Oreochromis niloticus: one gene and its partner. The protein of the gene in region 2 interacts with the protein of the main gene of each other region in a pairwise test. Links are inferred from orthologs where the notes say so. Each region holds a gene or a part of one and is shown on either strand. Other genes may lie near its edges.

Region 1 (7,634 bases), on a different chromosome or scaffold from region 2:
AGCCCCTTATTGCCAGTTGTCTTACGTTTTCCACTGCTCCAATGATAGTGACGTCACGATGAAGTTAATGCTCATAGCAAACAGGAATGGTGACGATCTCTTTCTGTAGGTAGTCTTTGGCCTTGAAGCGGTGCTTGAACCCTCTCAGGTAACTGCTGATTATTACCTTGATGTGGTCTGGGATGTGATAGTGCTTCAGTGCTGTTCTGAGAAGATTGTGAGGAATTAGCCGAGTCCAGCCAGACTGCTGTCAGATTTCTTTGACCTGGCTTTCACGTATAATCTTGCTCAGGACCAGGGCCATTTTTTTTTTTTTTGCCATTTATCTGGGTTTGGGTCATTGAGGCAGCAGACTAAGAAAAGATGCTCAGACCCACTTCTTACCTGGCTATAGCCTCTAGGTTATCCAGCAGAAATGTTTTTGACCAATGCTTTCCCAAGGCAAGTAAGAGTCATCATCTCTCCAGCATGTTCTCTCCCAGTTACACATGCAGGATCCATCCTCATCAGGTGTTCTCTCTGAGTCGTCCTAGATGAACAAGCTCCTCACCTGTCTCTATGTCCCTGAAGTCAACTTGGGCAGCTGGGGATGTGACTGCCAAAGCCACTGACTCTTACTTGATCTACAAAGCACCAGACCCTTATAGCTCCCTCTGCCTCCACAGGAGGGTGGACTCATGAGTCTTGTTCTGGGTCCAGGCCCAGTGGGCTAAGGCTCGGCCACTCAGTGCTCATTTGAATGACACTTAATCTGAAGACCATTTTGCTTTGGGAGGCCCACCAGAAAAAGTTTCTCTCGACAACACAGGTCTTAGGAACATGGTGATGGATGGAGGGGTTATTACAGTAAATCAGTGCAAAATATTAGACCATAAAAAAAATAAATCTAAAGAAAGCAAAACAACATAAATCTGGGCAGACAGAATTATCAGCAAGTTCAGAAAACCAGCCCGAAAGGCCTGGAAATAATATGACATCTGTGAGTAAGTTTAAAAAAAAAACCCCAAACAAACCCAAAACATCCATTTGTAAGAAAACCATTCACTTCTCCATTACTCCTTGAGTAGTTTTACAACGCTTTAACATCAATTTAAATGGGATTTTTCTGATTTAACATTATCTTGAAATAAAGTGTTATCTCTTTTTAATTCAAATGTGATTTTTTCACATTTTTAAAAGGAACAGCTGGAAAATAAAATGCATCATCTTAGGCAGCTATTCTTTCAATAAATTAAAAAAGCTACAATTTTCCACAAAATAGACCCAGCCTTATTTCAATCGCAGACTCTCAAAATTGCGCACTATTCTGATGATATTCTGATGTTATGTTTTAGGACATTCATTTTCTGGATAGACCTGTCTATATCTACTTGTAATCCCAAAATGTAACAATTTATGTTCCGAGTTACTTTTGCCCTCATGACATTTTGTATGTCGTCACAGTGAGACACAGAAAATAAATTTGACTTAAACAAAAAAGTAATGACACACAATGAAAACAATGTTGCCTTTGATTCCAGCCCACATCTAAGTTCCAAGCTCAACAGACAGCTGTGTTTACAGCATGTATTCAAGAGTTAAACCAACCGGTTACAGGTGGACATTTTAAAAGCAGTGATGTAACCTAGTCCTTGAACTTTAAATGGATCATTGTATTGTAGAAAACAAATTTTCAACCATGTAAAAACCTGAAAGGAAACTCTGTGGCCATTATTCACTGCACAGAAGAGCAGTGGCTCTTTGCAGTGCCTTAAACCTGGATTCTTTTTAGCACAGGGCCAGCAGAGGGCGACTCCTCTAATTGTAGATAAGTGTAAGGAAAATGCCTTTCAGTTTTTTTGATCTGTAACTTCAGTTATACTTAAGATTGTAAGTTAAGCTTTATTAAATAGAACGCAGTGCTGATTTCAGATATTATTATACCCCCAGTCAGAGTCAAAAAGAAACATAGAATAGGGAATGACATAGGACCTACCTTCAGTTCTAGCCAGTAAGCTTGCAATATCAGTCCTGACATGCAGGGGTGGATCTAGAGAAATATTCCTAGGATGGCGTGAGGGTGACAGGGAAATCACATGGGGTGGCAAAATCAATGTGCAGGTGTTACATTCTGTAATATTTATTATATATGCTTAAAATACACCAAATGCAGTAAGTATACACCTGTTTCCTATAAACATGGTCAGTAACCTTCTTATTGGCTTTAGGCCAAATAATAAAACATTTCCGTTACATAAAAAATGTGCATTTTGATTTTATATATAGGCTACTGTGTAGCCTATATATTAAATAAACATGTAGCTCAATAAGTATAAAATCCAGAATACTACACAACATGAGGTGGATCAGTTGGAAATACAATTTTTCTAATTTAAGTTTCACATTCTTGTGTTAGAAATAATCAAACTGTTACATGCTTACAAAATGTCAGGAATCTGCACTGTCATGACCAAGTTTTTCACCAAAAATTTGAAGTGATTTTTTTTATGATTTATGGGGTTATGATGCTCACCTTCATTCAGTTTCCAGAGTGTAACAATCAACCACCTGTGTTGAAATCTGAAATGCCCATGATGGTGATTCAAAATATGCTCTGGCACAATCACAGATATCAGTTGCTACTGACAACAAGAAATACATTTTTAATTTTTTGAATCTATATTGAATTTTAACTAGCTAGGCTCAAAGTGTTAATGCTAGCTTATTTTAATAAAAAAACAAAACAAACATTGTCATATGTCAGAGGATTTGCTTTTTTTTTTATTCAGCTATGATGACACTCGCAAAATTGAGAAAAGAAAAAGAAAAAAGATCCAAGGCTCTCTATCTTCTTTACTGTGAGGGTAAATATAACACAATACCACTTGATGGCAGCAAGCAAACAGGTAAATGCAAAGCATGAAAAGAATTTTCCAAAGAGCTAATTAAATACTCATTATTGACATGCTGAGCTGTAGTGACTAATTGTTTCTTACAGAGCAAGGTAATCTGACTAAATGTGACGTGTTTGATGGCAGAAAGCAACAGGAGGAAATCACTCTGGACAGGAGAAGACATCTGCATTGGTAAAGAACATACACTAAAGAAGTGAATAGGTGTCACTAGCTAAGTCCATCAGATTGATTGAAATACCAGTATTAAATAGAATAATTAGAGGCTAAATTCTGCTGGTTTTGAGTAATATCTCAGCAAATTCATTGTATTTGAGTATCACCACAAGAAAGTGGCTGTGAATTCAGTAATCAAATAATCTATGAAATTTCTACATTTGATCAGTTTGTCTTAATTTCTTTACATCTGAAGTAGAATATATCAGACAAGTTCTTCATCTTACAACTTACAAGGCACTGGAAGGCATGCAGCCACTGACTGCTTTAATTATTAATAAAAAGTAAAGGAAACAAAACTCAAAGTAGTATGCAACAGTGTTCCTACCTAAAAAAAACCTCAGCTCATAGCTTAAGGTCTTGTGTTTGATTACACAACCACCACACGTTCCGTCTCCAAACAGGGATTTAGTTGCTCTTCCTGGGTGATACTATTACAATTTAAGAACGCTCATATGTCATTTCAGCAGGAACTCCTATAAGGTTTTTTGGGAGTCAGAGGGTAACAACCTGTTCTGTTACTTAAGTAAAAGGATATGTTGTGTAATTTAACAATTTAAGTGCAAATTAGACTTCTGCACTTCCTCTTGGCTCTTGGAAAACCTAGCAAATCCCATGATTTGGTAACTTTGGGAATTTCAGATGGGGAAGACACTCCTGTTGGCTGTTCTTTAAATGTTGATGCTCCTGCACATCAAGGGAGCTCTTCTTCATTTAGCTTGCTCTGAGGACAGTTTCCAAGGACAGTTTCCTGATAAAGAATGTAGGGTAATTAATGAGAGCAGCCTGGAGGATATGGATTAGGAAAGGAGGGAATGAACAAAGGAAAAAATGTCAATACTATGAATTATTTGTCCCATTTGAGACTCCACCTCCCAAAAAATACAGTAAAATTGAAAAATATATAGTTAACTTACAAATGACAACAACTGGTAATTAAAGAATGTATAACAGGGTGAAATATAAACCACTGTTCAGTGTTCAAAGTCATTTGTGATAGGCCATGAAGTTGTAGCCAAAGGCTTCTGTGGGTGTTTGAGAGCCACTTTCTTTGTCCATCTTGAAGCCATCAAGTCTGAAGTAGAGTTGGCCTTTCACTTTCACCCTCATGCTGCTTTTTGCATGTTTTCTCAACCACTGCTGTTTCCTTCACCCAAGGGTGGATCTGTGGCCTCCAACAGAAACACCAGCATGACCTTCCTGCCAGCATTCCAGCACACACACATACACACAACCACTTTGGTTCTGAAAACAGCAGAAAGGCTAAAAGAGCATAACAAATAAATCAAGAAAGAAAAAATAATTAAAGCCGATATGCTTTACAGTTTATTTTCACCTCTGAACAGAGGGAGCATACAGGGCAGGGAGATGAAAAAGAAACACTGTTGTGACATTTTATGCCAGGGTGAGCAAGCACACCTGCAGAGACAGAAAGGAAGAGAGAGAGAGAGAGAGAGAAAGAGAGAGGAAGAGAGAGAGATAACAGTAGAGCAAAGTAGCGAGAGAAAAGAGGCGGAGCAACACAGAGTAAAGAGCTGCTCAGAGAGGCAGAACAGTCTGCACACATCATCAGCTTGTCTCTTTAGGAGGACGAGAGCAAGAGAGAGTAAGAAAGGGGGATAAGAAGAGACAGACAGAAAAAAGGAAGAAAAGAGAAACTGCATCAAAGAAAAGACAGAGTTGTTGCTGAGCTGGGAATCCATCCAGCAGACTTCAGAGTGACTGGGAGCCTAGTGGGAGGACAGACTGGTTTCTAGCCACAGGGAGTAGACTGCAAAGCACCATGGCTGACAACGTGAATGAGGAGTCGGATTATACCCCAGGGAAAGATGAGCTGGACTGGGGCTATGAGGAAGGTAGGCTGGGATTTCTCAGTATGTGAAGGGATGCTGGAGATGTGTGAAAAGCTAAGGATCAGGAGGAGTTTCAAGGGGGACTCAACCCAAAACTTTACACTTTTTAAAAACATTTAAAAAAATACAATTTGATTCTTTAGTTGGATTTGGGTTATACACTGTACAACATCTGTCAGAACACCGGCTTCATTATTTTTTTAATAAACCACTAATGGTTTTACTCTCTCATCTCCTATGTTGTAGGTTGCTCGAACGGCATGATTTACAGTCAGTGTTATATAGAAAAATATCACAAGAACAATATCACTTCAGTAAAGTTGCCAGCAAACCAGTTATTTATCACTGCACTGCTAAAGGTCTAGGAGACTTGCATCAGACAGTTGTTGGTCAGAGAGTTTCAGCAGAGCAAAGATTACCTTGGACTCTACAAATCATACAATAAAACTCAAAAATGGCTTGGCATTAAGAGCTGTCACTCATATATCACTCATATACTCATATATCTTTGTCTAAAGAGAAACTGAATAAAGCACATAAGCACTTGAACATAGGTTACAAATATTACTGTCATACTTTCAGTATGTCATGTAGTTATGTGTTCACTTTGTCTTTCTGGTAATGCTGCTTTTACTGAGCATCGAGGGATATACTGTCACACTGAACTGTGAAATTCTTACTGTAAGTATACTAAATTATATGGAATACCATGTATGTCTAAGACACTAATATCTGACATGCGAATACCTGGTTAGGTTAAGAGGAGATGAGAGGTTCCCACAGGAAATTCCTCATCTTAATTTATAAGCACAAGCACAGAACTTCCTTGCCATGAGCTGACAGTGCTTACTGCTGTCTAATAAGCAAAAGTTTCCTTTCTTAGGACTTAGCTAAGGTCTCAGTCACATAGACCTAGAGGTTGGTTGACCCCCTGACAACCTCTGATCACCAGGGAAAAATGTTGCTCGCAAATCGTTGCTGCTATTGCCAGGTGAAATCAGCTACACCAAGAATCTGCTTGTGATAGCTTTGGTCACCTGCAGTTTGCATGGAAGACACAGACTTTTCTACAAAGAGTTGTCATTTATGCCACAAGCTTTAGTCAAATGTGGAACAAGTGCAGTATAAATTGGGTTAGGGCTAGGGTTAGGGCTAACCCTAACCCTAACTTTTACTCTGACTGCAAATGTTCTCAATTTCTCATTTTTGTCACTCTTAGTTTCACTAACAGTTGGTGAGTAATTTGCAAGTGTTTACAGAAATTTCAGCATCTTCCATATAAACTGCTGCAAAGGTGGCAGCCTGCTAGCAAGTAAAGTAAAGGGGGTTTCTCAAAGAAGGGTTTTGGTGTACCACTTTACATCTGCTTGCAAACACTTTCTTGATAAAAACAGCCAGCGACTTCCAGCAACCACCCACAACCAGGTAAAGAAAGCACATTTTTCTGCTGCAACCAGTGAATTACAAGGTCACTGACTGACTGGTTTTGAGGTCTCTGTGCGAGTTGATCAGTTGATTTCACAGAGACTGCCAGAACCTCCAACAGCCATTGAAGGTGCACTATCAGATGGCCACCAACAGGTCTCTAATGCCTCTGTGGCTAACAATCAGGCACAGTCATTTCTTGATTAGCTTACACATAAGAATGATATCATCTAACACTAAAGTTAACAAGAGAAGAAATAAGCTTACAACCCCCAAATTTTTTCAGTGACTGAAATAAAAAAACACAATTACTCACAAAGCTAAGTTCTTAATTTGAGGTCATTAAAGCAACAATCCGCAATCTAGTAGTGCCACTGAAATTCTCACTGCCTTTAGTAAACTGTTGTTAAGGCTTTAGTTGCTGAGGAAAGCGAGAATGTGACTGCTCCCCCTTGCCTCTTTGCTACGGTGTGAATAGTCAGCCAGTGAGGGCCGTCTGTCTGCAGTCCCAACAGAAAGGCACACTGTGAGGCCTGAGCTCCTTTTCTTGGAGGCAGATGGGTGTACTGGACTTTCCATGAACACCATACTGCCAGTGTGTGTTTCCTCTTTCTAAAAACACAGCAGGTTGTGCACATTATACACATCTCTTACTGTTGCAGTCAGCTGAAAGTGAAGCAAATTCTGTCTTTCAGTGGTATCACTTTCTCTACACTTTTTGCTCTTCACACTCTATTAAACAAAGGCATTACTATCTTACAAAATATTTCAGTGTTGTGCTGTTGACAGGTGACCTGTCTCATTTAGGGCAGACTTGCCCTGTTTTTACAACTGCAGTCTGCTTAATTATGCTTTTATGAACAGTAATCTCATTGTCACACTCACTGCAAGAAATCCTGTTTACTAGACACTGAGAGGAAGCAGAAAGAAACTCAGGATCAGAATGAGGACAAGGCAAAGAGGAAGAGGGACTGAAGACCAGTTTTAGCCAGTCTCGTGTCCCCCACACGTTCTTCTGAAACCACTCTTTTCCTCTCATGCACACACCCAGCTCTGTTTATATCACTTCAGGGAATATTATTTGACTTTGATTTTGTGGCGCCAAACCCCAATTTAAACCACAACTACTATTTATACAAACTTTAATTTAAAGTTTAGCAGTGCTCACCACCTATATATATATGTGTGTGTATATATATACATATATAGAGAGCAACAAACTCTAATAAATAACTAATACTAATCAAAC
Region 2 (7,396 bases):
TTAGCAAATCTATTCAATTTTTATATTTTTTTTACTGTTACACTTTATTGTAACACACCAGAAAATGTTACACCTGTACACCCTTCCCTGAACTGACTTAATGGATTACATTTATATAGCGCTTTTCGAGACCCTCAAAGCGCTTTACAATTCCTCTATTCATTCACTCTCACATTCACACACTGGACTTTTTGGTTCAATCAAAATGGATTTTAAGGTGATTTTCTCCGTCTCCATAGACCATCAGAGAAACTGCTGTCAGCTCCACTTGTCTTAAAACATGCTATACAGTGTCTTTGTTTAGATTTGATTTCATACTGCATGCACAAATTCCAAGACATGCAGTTACTGTAAACCCACCTTAGTTCAGCTCCTCCTTTCACCTGCCTGCCCGGCAGCTAATGCTTCAGGCTAGTGCTTCAAACCCCAGGCGAGTGACCATGACCCTCCTGCTGTTCCTTCACCTCCATGTGCCTTCTGGGCCGACCCATCATCACACCATCCAGGCAACCCCTCCTAATTCTCCCTTGAGTCACATTTAGGAGGTGAGGGGAGGAGATAGAGGGAGTAGTGTGCTTCTTCAGGGGCTGCTGTGGTGTTAATCTGCCACCGTGGGTAAAGTTAAAATTGTTAAGCTTGTTTATAGGTCACTCACTGTCTGCGCTTGCACCCTTGCGCTGCCTCTCGCTCTCAGCATGGGGAATGCTGTTAGGCGGAAATTCAATCTTGGATTTGCTCCTTTTCCAAGAGCACGCTGCCTATTCGCCCACTTTTTCTGACCCCAACAAGCCTCCTCACTCAAAAATGTCAACCTCTTACAACCCTAAGTCTGTCTTAAACATGCTGTGCATTCTTACATACACTTGTAGCCTGATCTGTACCTGAACTAGAAAGTTTAAAAAGGAGAATAAAAAATAAAATAAGGGAGCAGTGTTTGCACCATGAACATGATTTACACTCTAGAATCATACCACAAACATTTGGTTGGTATTTATGTTTTTTCCCTCTTTTGCTGTTGCATCTTAGATATAAATTAAAACTTGCAGGTTACTGTGGTTTGTGCAGAATTATCCACAAATTGGATCAGAGCAGTGATAAATCTGTCATGAAATGTGACCACACCATTACTCACTTTATGTTAAATATAAAACTTGATTTCTGTGGTTATTTTAGACACATCTTAAATTATACACCAAAACATCTCTGAGTCTCTGGGTCTGTGTGCAGGAAGACTTTTCTTACTGTTGCCTTCAAATACTTCAAGTAATTTACAGCTCTTAAGTGTTTATTTTCACAAAGGGTTTGTAAAGTTTGCTCTTTGCATTCCAAATCTCCAAATCCAATTTTGATACTTTGAATAAGAGTAGCTGTTGCAGAGGACTGTAGGTCGGAATGTGTGGGAAAACCTGCTGGCTTGTTTACTGCAAGCTGCAGCTGAAGGCACTTGGAGATCCTGGTATTTTTGGCTCACTTTATTAAACTGTGTGAGATGTGCTGAATCCTTTACTGGCATAGTGAGTGGTATGGTAGCATGCAAGCTATGCTCTGTATAAAAAAAAATAGATGTAGCTTCCAGGTCTGAAAAGTGAAGCAAATGTGAAGCAGTGTGCCTTAAACTGTATTCTTTGTAATGGCCAGCAGGGGGCTGACGCCACAGGTTGCAGAAAGAAGCCCAATTTAAAAATAATTTGTGAGTTGGTGAGTTTATGACCTCAAATATTAGTTTAACCTTTAAGTTAATAAAGCACAATGTTCCTTAAAATTATTATTATTATTATTATTAATAATAATAATAATAATAATAATAATAATAATACAGGCTGATGTCCAAAAATCTGAATCCCTGAAAAAAATCAGGAAGTTTAAGGATTTCCAAATTTTTATTTTTAAACACAAAATGTTTTGCCATGTAAAATGAGGAAATTAGATTAAAGTTCATTTCAGCTTCTACCTTATCCACATGTTTTAAGTCACATGCCCTTCCTGAGCCAACTTCAAAGGTTTAGTGTCTCTGATTTTTACCTCCAATCGACCCAGCACCCTTTTACACGAATATGTTGACCAGTGAGGCATGAAAATGAAGAAATGAAATAATTACGTTTAAGATTAAGTATACAAAAATGAATACTTTTAACAAAAGGCCAGATCTCCTTGATCTTTAAGTGCTTTATAACTGCTAGAAACATAGCATCAGCAAGTTTAGTGGGAAGCAGGTGCTTCATACTGTCAGGTAAAGACACTACAGTATTGGAGAGAGATCCCCAACAATCAGACGATCCCATTCGTGCAAGTGCTTGATAATGGGGAGTAGGAAGAACTTCCTTTCACAGAACGAAACTAATCATGTCCAGTCTGGGGCGGATCTAGAGAAATTTTTTTTAGAGTGGCATGAGGGTGGCAAAGAAATCAAATGGGGTGGCAAAATCAAAGCCTTTTTTTCCCCAAACACATATGCAGGTGGTTACATATGGTTAAAATGATTCAAATGCAGTAAGTATACACGTTTTTCATATAAATATAGTCTATAACTTAATTATTGTCTGTAGCCCACATAATTACACACTTTAGTTACATAAAACATGTGAGTTTTGATATTATGTACTGTATAGCCTGTATAATAAATAAATATGTAGCCCAACAAGTATAAAATCCAGAAAGTTGCACAACATGGGGCGGTTCATTTACAAACACAAGTCTAACTTAAGTTTCACACTGTTTTTTGTTAGAAAACAATCACATTGTTACAGCTTAAATTACACAAAATGTCAGAAATCTGCACTGTCATGAACAAAAATTTAAACCTAATTTTTCATGATTTGTTGGATTAACCCACTGAGGTCTGAAATACAACCGGGCATTTTTGACTCCTTTTGAGTTTACGTTTGTATTTCACCCTCAGATTGTTTCATTTTATTTTTCCCCCTTGCCTTGTTTGGGATCATTCTTTTCAGCTCAACTGAATTTAGTTGTTTTTTTCACTGACATACTGCATTAGTATTACTGATCTGAAATCACACAAAGAACTTAAAATCCTAGTAGTATTTTTTTACTGAAAAAAAAAAACCACAGACATGTTGAGTAAATTTTTATAACTTGAAATGCAAATATAAATTGTACATTTTGTAAACATATCCAACTATTTATCTAAAAATGCAGCCAATACACCTGCCGTTGCTTTCATTTTGTACAACCATTTAAAAATATACTAAAACTAAAATGAGAGAACAATCAGGTGTTGCAATAAGATGCCCCACAAATGATGTGTGCCAGTAAAAAAAAAGTTTGTCCACCAAAAGACAGATGAGAACAGCACAGGGATAAACCTGCAGGCCTGACAACAGCAGGTGTATCACTCCGCTGGTTTTCTACTTAGTGACAGTGTTTACATTGCAAATGTGCCTTTGTGACATTCATTAGTGCCCTCACTGACACACACAACAAAACGACTGCACAACAGAACAGCTACACAAGACAACACAACACACTAACTGTACACTCCACACTAAACGTCACAAATCTCCCACATCTAAAAACTCTCTCACTCGCTCGCTCTGTCTCGCTGCCGTTACCGTCACTCTAAAAACTCTCCCCTCTCCCTAAACAACCAAATCCCACGTGTTGACTTTTTTAAAAATTGGTTGACATGGTACATTTTTCCACCGATAGGCTTCTTTTCCTTTCTTTACTGTTTTCGCGCTTTCCTTAGAAAACACTTAAAATACACACAGCACACATAAAAAACGTGACGACAGTATTTAGAAAAAAGCATGGATTATATATATTATCATAACTCTGGATTTACTGGCCTGTAATTAAAATTTAAAAACTTTGAAGTCCGAACTTTCAATGTGGGCTGAAACAGAGACTCAGCGTGGCTGCAGCTTGTTGCTATGTCAGCTTAACATAGTCATGTGATTTGGAGGTGCAGCGTGTCCGTGGACCACAGAGGGTTAATAACACTCATCTTCCTTCCATTTCCATAGTGTAACATCCAACCACCTGTGTAAAATCCGAAATTCCCGTGGTGTTGTTCAAAATGTGCTCTGGCACAATCATAAACATCGCTTGCTACTGATAACAAGAAAAAAGCTGGTCCTGCTGTGGGCTGAACCATTTGTTAATGGTAGAGGGGAGGAACACTATGCAATATATTCAGTTTTATTCACTGTTGACTGTAACTACGCTCAAACTGTTAATGCTATCTTATTTTAATAAACAACACTGTCATATGCAAAACTGGGGTGGCAAAGGATCATTTTAGGGTGGCACTTGCCACCCCATGCCACCCTTCTAGATCCGCCCCTGTGTCCAGAGTGATGATTTCTAAGGAAGCTGACATCAGCTTAGGGCGGCTAAGTTATTGGCACCCAAGCACAGATGTCCAGACACAGTTGAAGTAAAAAGGATATTATTATAAAAGTTCAAGAACCCTCTCTAGAGCTAGTTTTCTTGTGAATGTATGGATTTCCTACTATCCCCTATGCTCCTGAATGCAGCAAAGCAAACCGCATGATTTTGTGGTACTTTGAACTTTACAAACATGCTGACAGCGGCTGATCGTTTCTGCTGGCGGCGAAGACACAGAGGAGTCCTGCTGTAATAACTCCGAGCAGAGAAAGTAAGAACTAACCGTTATTAGTCCGCTGTTTGACAGCAGCGCCGCTTTGCGTCACATTTATCATCGTAATCGCAGACAAAATGTCCCTCCGCTACCACAACAAAGTGGCTGTTGTCACGGGAGGATCCAAAGGGATTGGCAGAGGGATTGTCAGAGTGTTTGGTATGAAAATGTCTTTATTTATGCTGGCAGTTTGCGCATGCAGCGAGGAGTGGCGCACTGAACATTTCTGCGACTTTTTTTTTTCTTTTATAGTGGAAAACGGAGCCAAAGTGGCGTTTTGTGCAAGAGAAAGTTAGTAAGGCTGTTTTTATTCTGCTGCTTTTTAAAACAGTTACACGAATTCACTTTTGCCAGCATATATGAAAAGAAAAATAATGGAGTGCAAGTTTTTGCGGCATGATCAGACGTGTCTCGTAGGTGCAGCAGGTGAAGCTTTAGAGACGGAGCTTAACAAGACCGGACCAGGCTCGTGCAAGTTTGTCAAAAGTGACATCTCCAAGGAAGAAGACATAAAGGTGAAGTACAGCTTTGTGGGTGTAAGGTCTGAAATGGACAGAGTCACATGATCACATGATGATCACATGATGATCACATGAGCTCAGAGAGTGACTCGGGCAGCCACTGCTGATGTGTGCTTGTCATTTGTTGGTTTCTCTTGTCTGTGCAGAGACTGATTGCAGTCACAGTGGAGCAGTTTGGTCACATCGACTGCCTGGTCAACAACGCAGGCTGGCGTGAGTCACACATGCATTTTTTGTCTGTTTTTCACCTCCAAGCAGATATGACGTCATGGCCGTCCTGCTTACTTTCCTTCTTTGTGTGAAATCTTCCTCTTCAGACCCTCCTCATAAACCCACCGATGACACCACAGCGGAGGAGTTCAGAGACTTGTTGAATCTGAACCTCGTCAGCTACTTTTTGGCGTCTAAAGTAAATTTTCACAGCTTTGCGTGCAAGTATATTCTGTCTTCTGTGGAAACAAAGACAGGACATAAAGATTAAAGTGATACATTTAAACACTGATGAATGAAATAAATAACAAATAACTTTATTATGAAAAGACAAGCGGGGAAACAATACAGGAAAAAAATGTTTTCAGTGGTCTTAAAAGTACACGATCATATCCTTAACATGGAATCTACCTCCTTTGATATCAGGATTCCAGGATTTCCAGGTTCTTGCATTGACTGATTGATTTTAGCCAACGCCAGTCTGACTAACTAATAACCCATAAACCCGTCATACCTTTCATTTCTGTTTGAGCTCTTGGAGTAATCGAAACATTATGTATAGAGGATCTTTGCACCACCTGAAAGTCTCGCTCTCTCTGCAGTATGTGTTACCGTACCTACGAGAGCGCCAAGGAAACATCATCAATATTTCCAGTCTTGTGGGAACTATCGGTCAGAAAGATGCTGCACCGTATGTTGCCACAAAGGTGAGCTTCTTTCCTCATTTCCTAAATTTCAGCCCCCTGCCCAATAGAAGAGTACTGTAATGTGATGTCTTCTCCACAAGGGGGCGATCATTTCCATGACAAAGGCAATGGCAGTGGATGAGAGCCGCTACAATGTGAGAGTCAACTGGTGAGGCAAACTGGCATCTGAAAAAAAAGTTTTCTAGGGAGAAAATATATTTTTAATTTCCAGATTAATTAATTGGATTTCACTTTAATCACAAGAATAAGATATAAAAATGTGTTGAGTCACAGGCTCCCCCGCCCCCAATTCATGAATTGCATCATGCAATTAATGATGCAATTAATGAATGCATCATTGATTGCCGAACTGAACTACGGCTTCAAGAGTCAAATCCAGTCCTCACAATCCTGAGTGTCCTTGTGGCTGTGGAGCAGCCGATGTTACACATTTATTTCTTTATATAAGGAGATATGTGCGAGTGTGCTGGTTACAAGGCTAAAATGAATACTAAATAATTTTGGATATAAGGAAAGAAATTAAATTAATTGATTACTAAGATAACAAACAACTATAATTAAGCATTAACTGGAGGTAAAAGACAGAACTACAGTGAAATAAAAAATGTGATTCTGATAAATAAAAAGAATTCAGGTGTGAAATAAAAACTGAATGTGTAGAGATTCTACAAGTATTTCATTTCCTTTATTTTAATAATTATGCATTTCTTTGTCTGATCAGAGTGTCTGGCTTTTGTTGCAGCATTTCACCAGGTAACGTGATAACACCTCTGTGGGAGGAACTAGCAGCACAGACACCAGACACTGCCGCTACCATTAAAATGGGGGAAAATGCTCAGGTACGTTCAGGAAGGCGTTCAGAAGCCATGTAGATTATGGGTGCTGGTTAGTAGTGAGGAGCTGAGTTATGCAAAGTCATTCATGAAAAGTTATGAAAAATGAACCGTGCCATCATCACATTGGATCAGGGCAGCGAATGCCTCTGGCGTTGTTGGTCAGCAGGCTGCTGGTGGAAAGTGTGCTACTATTGGCTCAAAACAATGGAAGGGGAGAGGGGGAAGGTGTGTTAGGAGGTGGCGTGAGAGAAGGAAAGGCAGGAGTGTGGCGGTCAGAGATAGGGACTTACATGTGAGGAGCTAGCTGATATGAAGGAGAGAAGGAGGCGGATATTTTTCAGAGCCAGTGTCAGACAGGTTAATGAGTTTGAAGCTGGAAATCGTAGAGGTAATGTTGAATGTTGTCAGTGTGAACGCCGTGTAGGTTGGATGTCAGTTAGAAGAGATGGAGGAAGCTAGATAAAGTGCTAGATTTAGTCCCCAGGAAGGAGCCAGTGGTAA

Evidence for each region.
Region 1: the proteins of hsd17b14 (region 2) and ca8 interact in binary tests that used the Homo sapiens proteins (3 or more experiments, as listed by UniProt). The two-hybrid records come from large-scale screens. The link is inferred for Oreochromis niloticus from reciprocal best matches to the Homo sapiens genes HSD17B14 and CA8.

What each region holds. Positions count from the first base shown.
Region 1 is NC_031982.2:2,298,008-2,305,641, forward strand, and holds the start of ca8 (carbonic anhydrase-related protein), read left to right. Parts: upstream 1-4,633; 5' UTR 4,634-4,890; coding exon 4,891-4,963; intron 4,964-7,634. UniProt on the Homo sapiens protein: Does not have a carbonic anhydrase catalytic activity.
Region 2 is NC_031969.2:29,967,375-29,974,770, forward strand, and holds the start of hsd17b14 (L-fucose dehydrogenase), read left to right. Parts: upstream 1-4,382; 5' UTR 4,383-4,698; coding exon 4,699-4,780; intron 4,781-4,873; coding exon 4,874-4,912; intron 4,913-5,038; coding exon 5,039-5,136; intron 5,137-5,288; coding exon 5,289-5,355; intron 5,356-5,459; coding exon 5,460-5,551; intron 5,552-5,954; coding exon 5,955-6,059; intron 6,060-6,139; coding exon 6,140-6,207; intron 6,208-6,801; coding exon 6,802-6,898; intron 6,899-7,396. UniProt on the Homo sapiens protein: Catalyzes the NAD(+)-dependent oxidation of L-fucose, yielding L-fucono-1,5-lactone, which rapidly converts spontaneously to L-fucone-1,4-lactone. Can also act on D-arabinose and L-galactose, with lower catalytic efficiency. Does not use NADPH.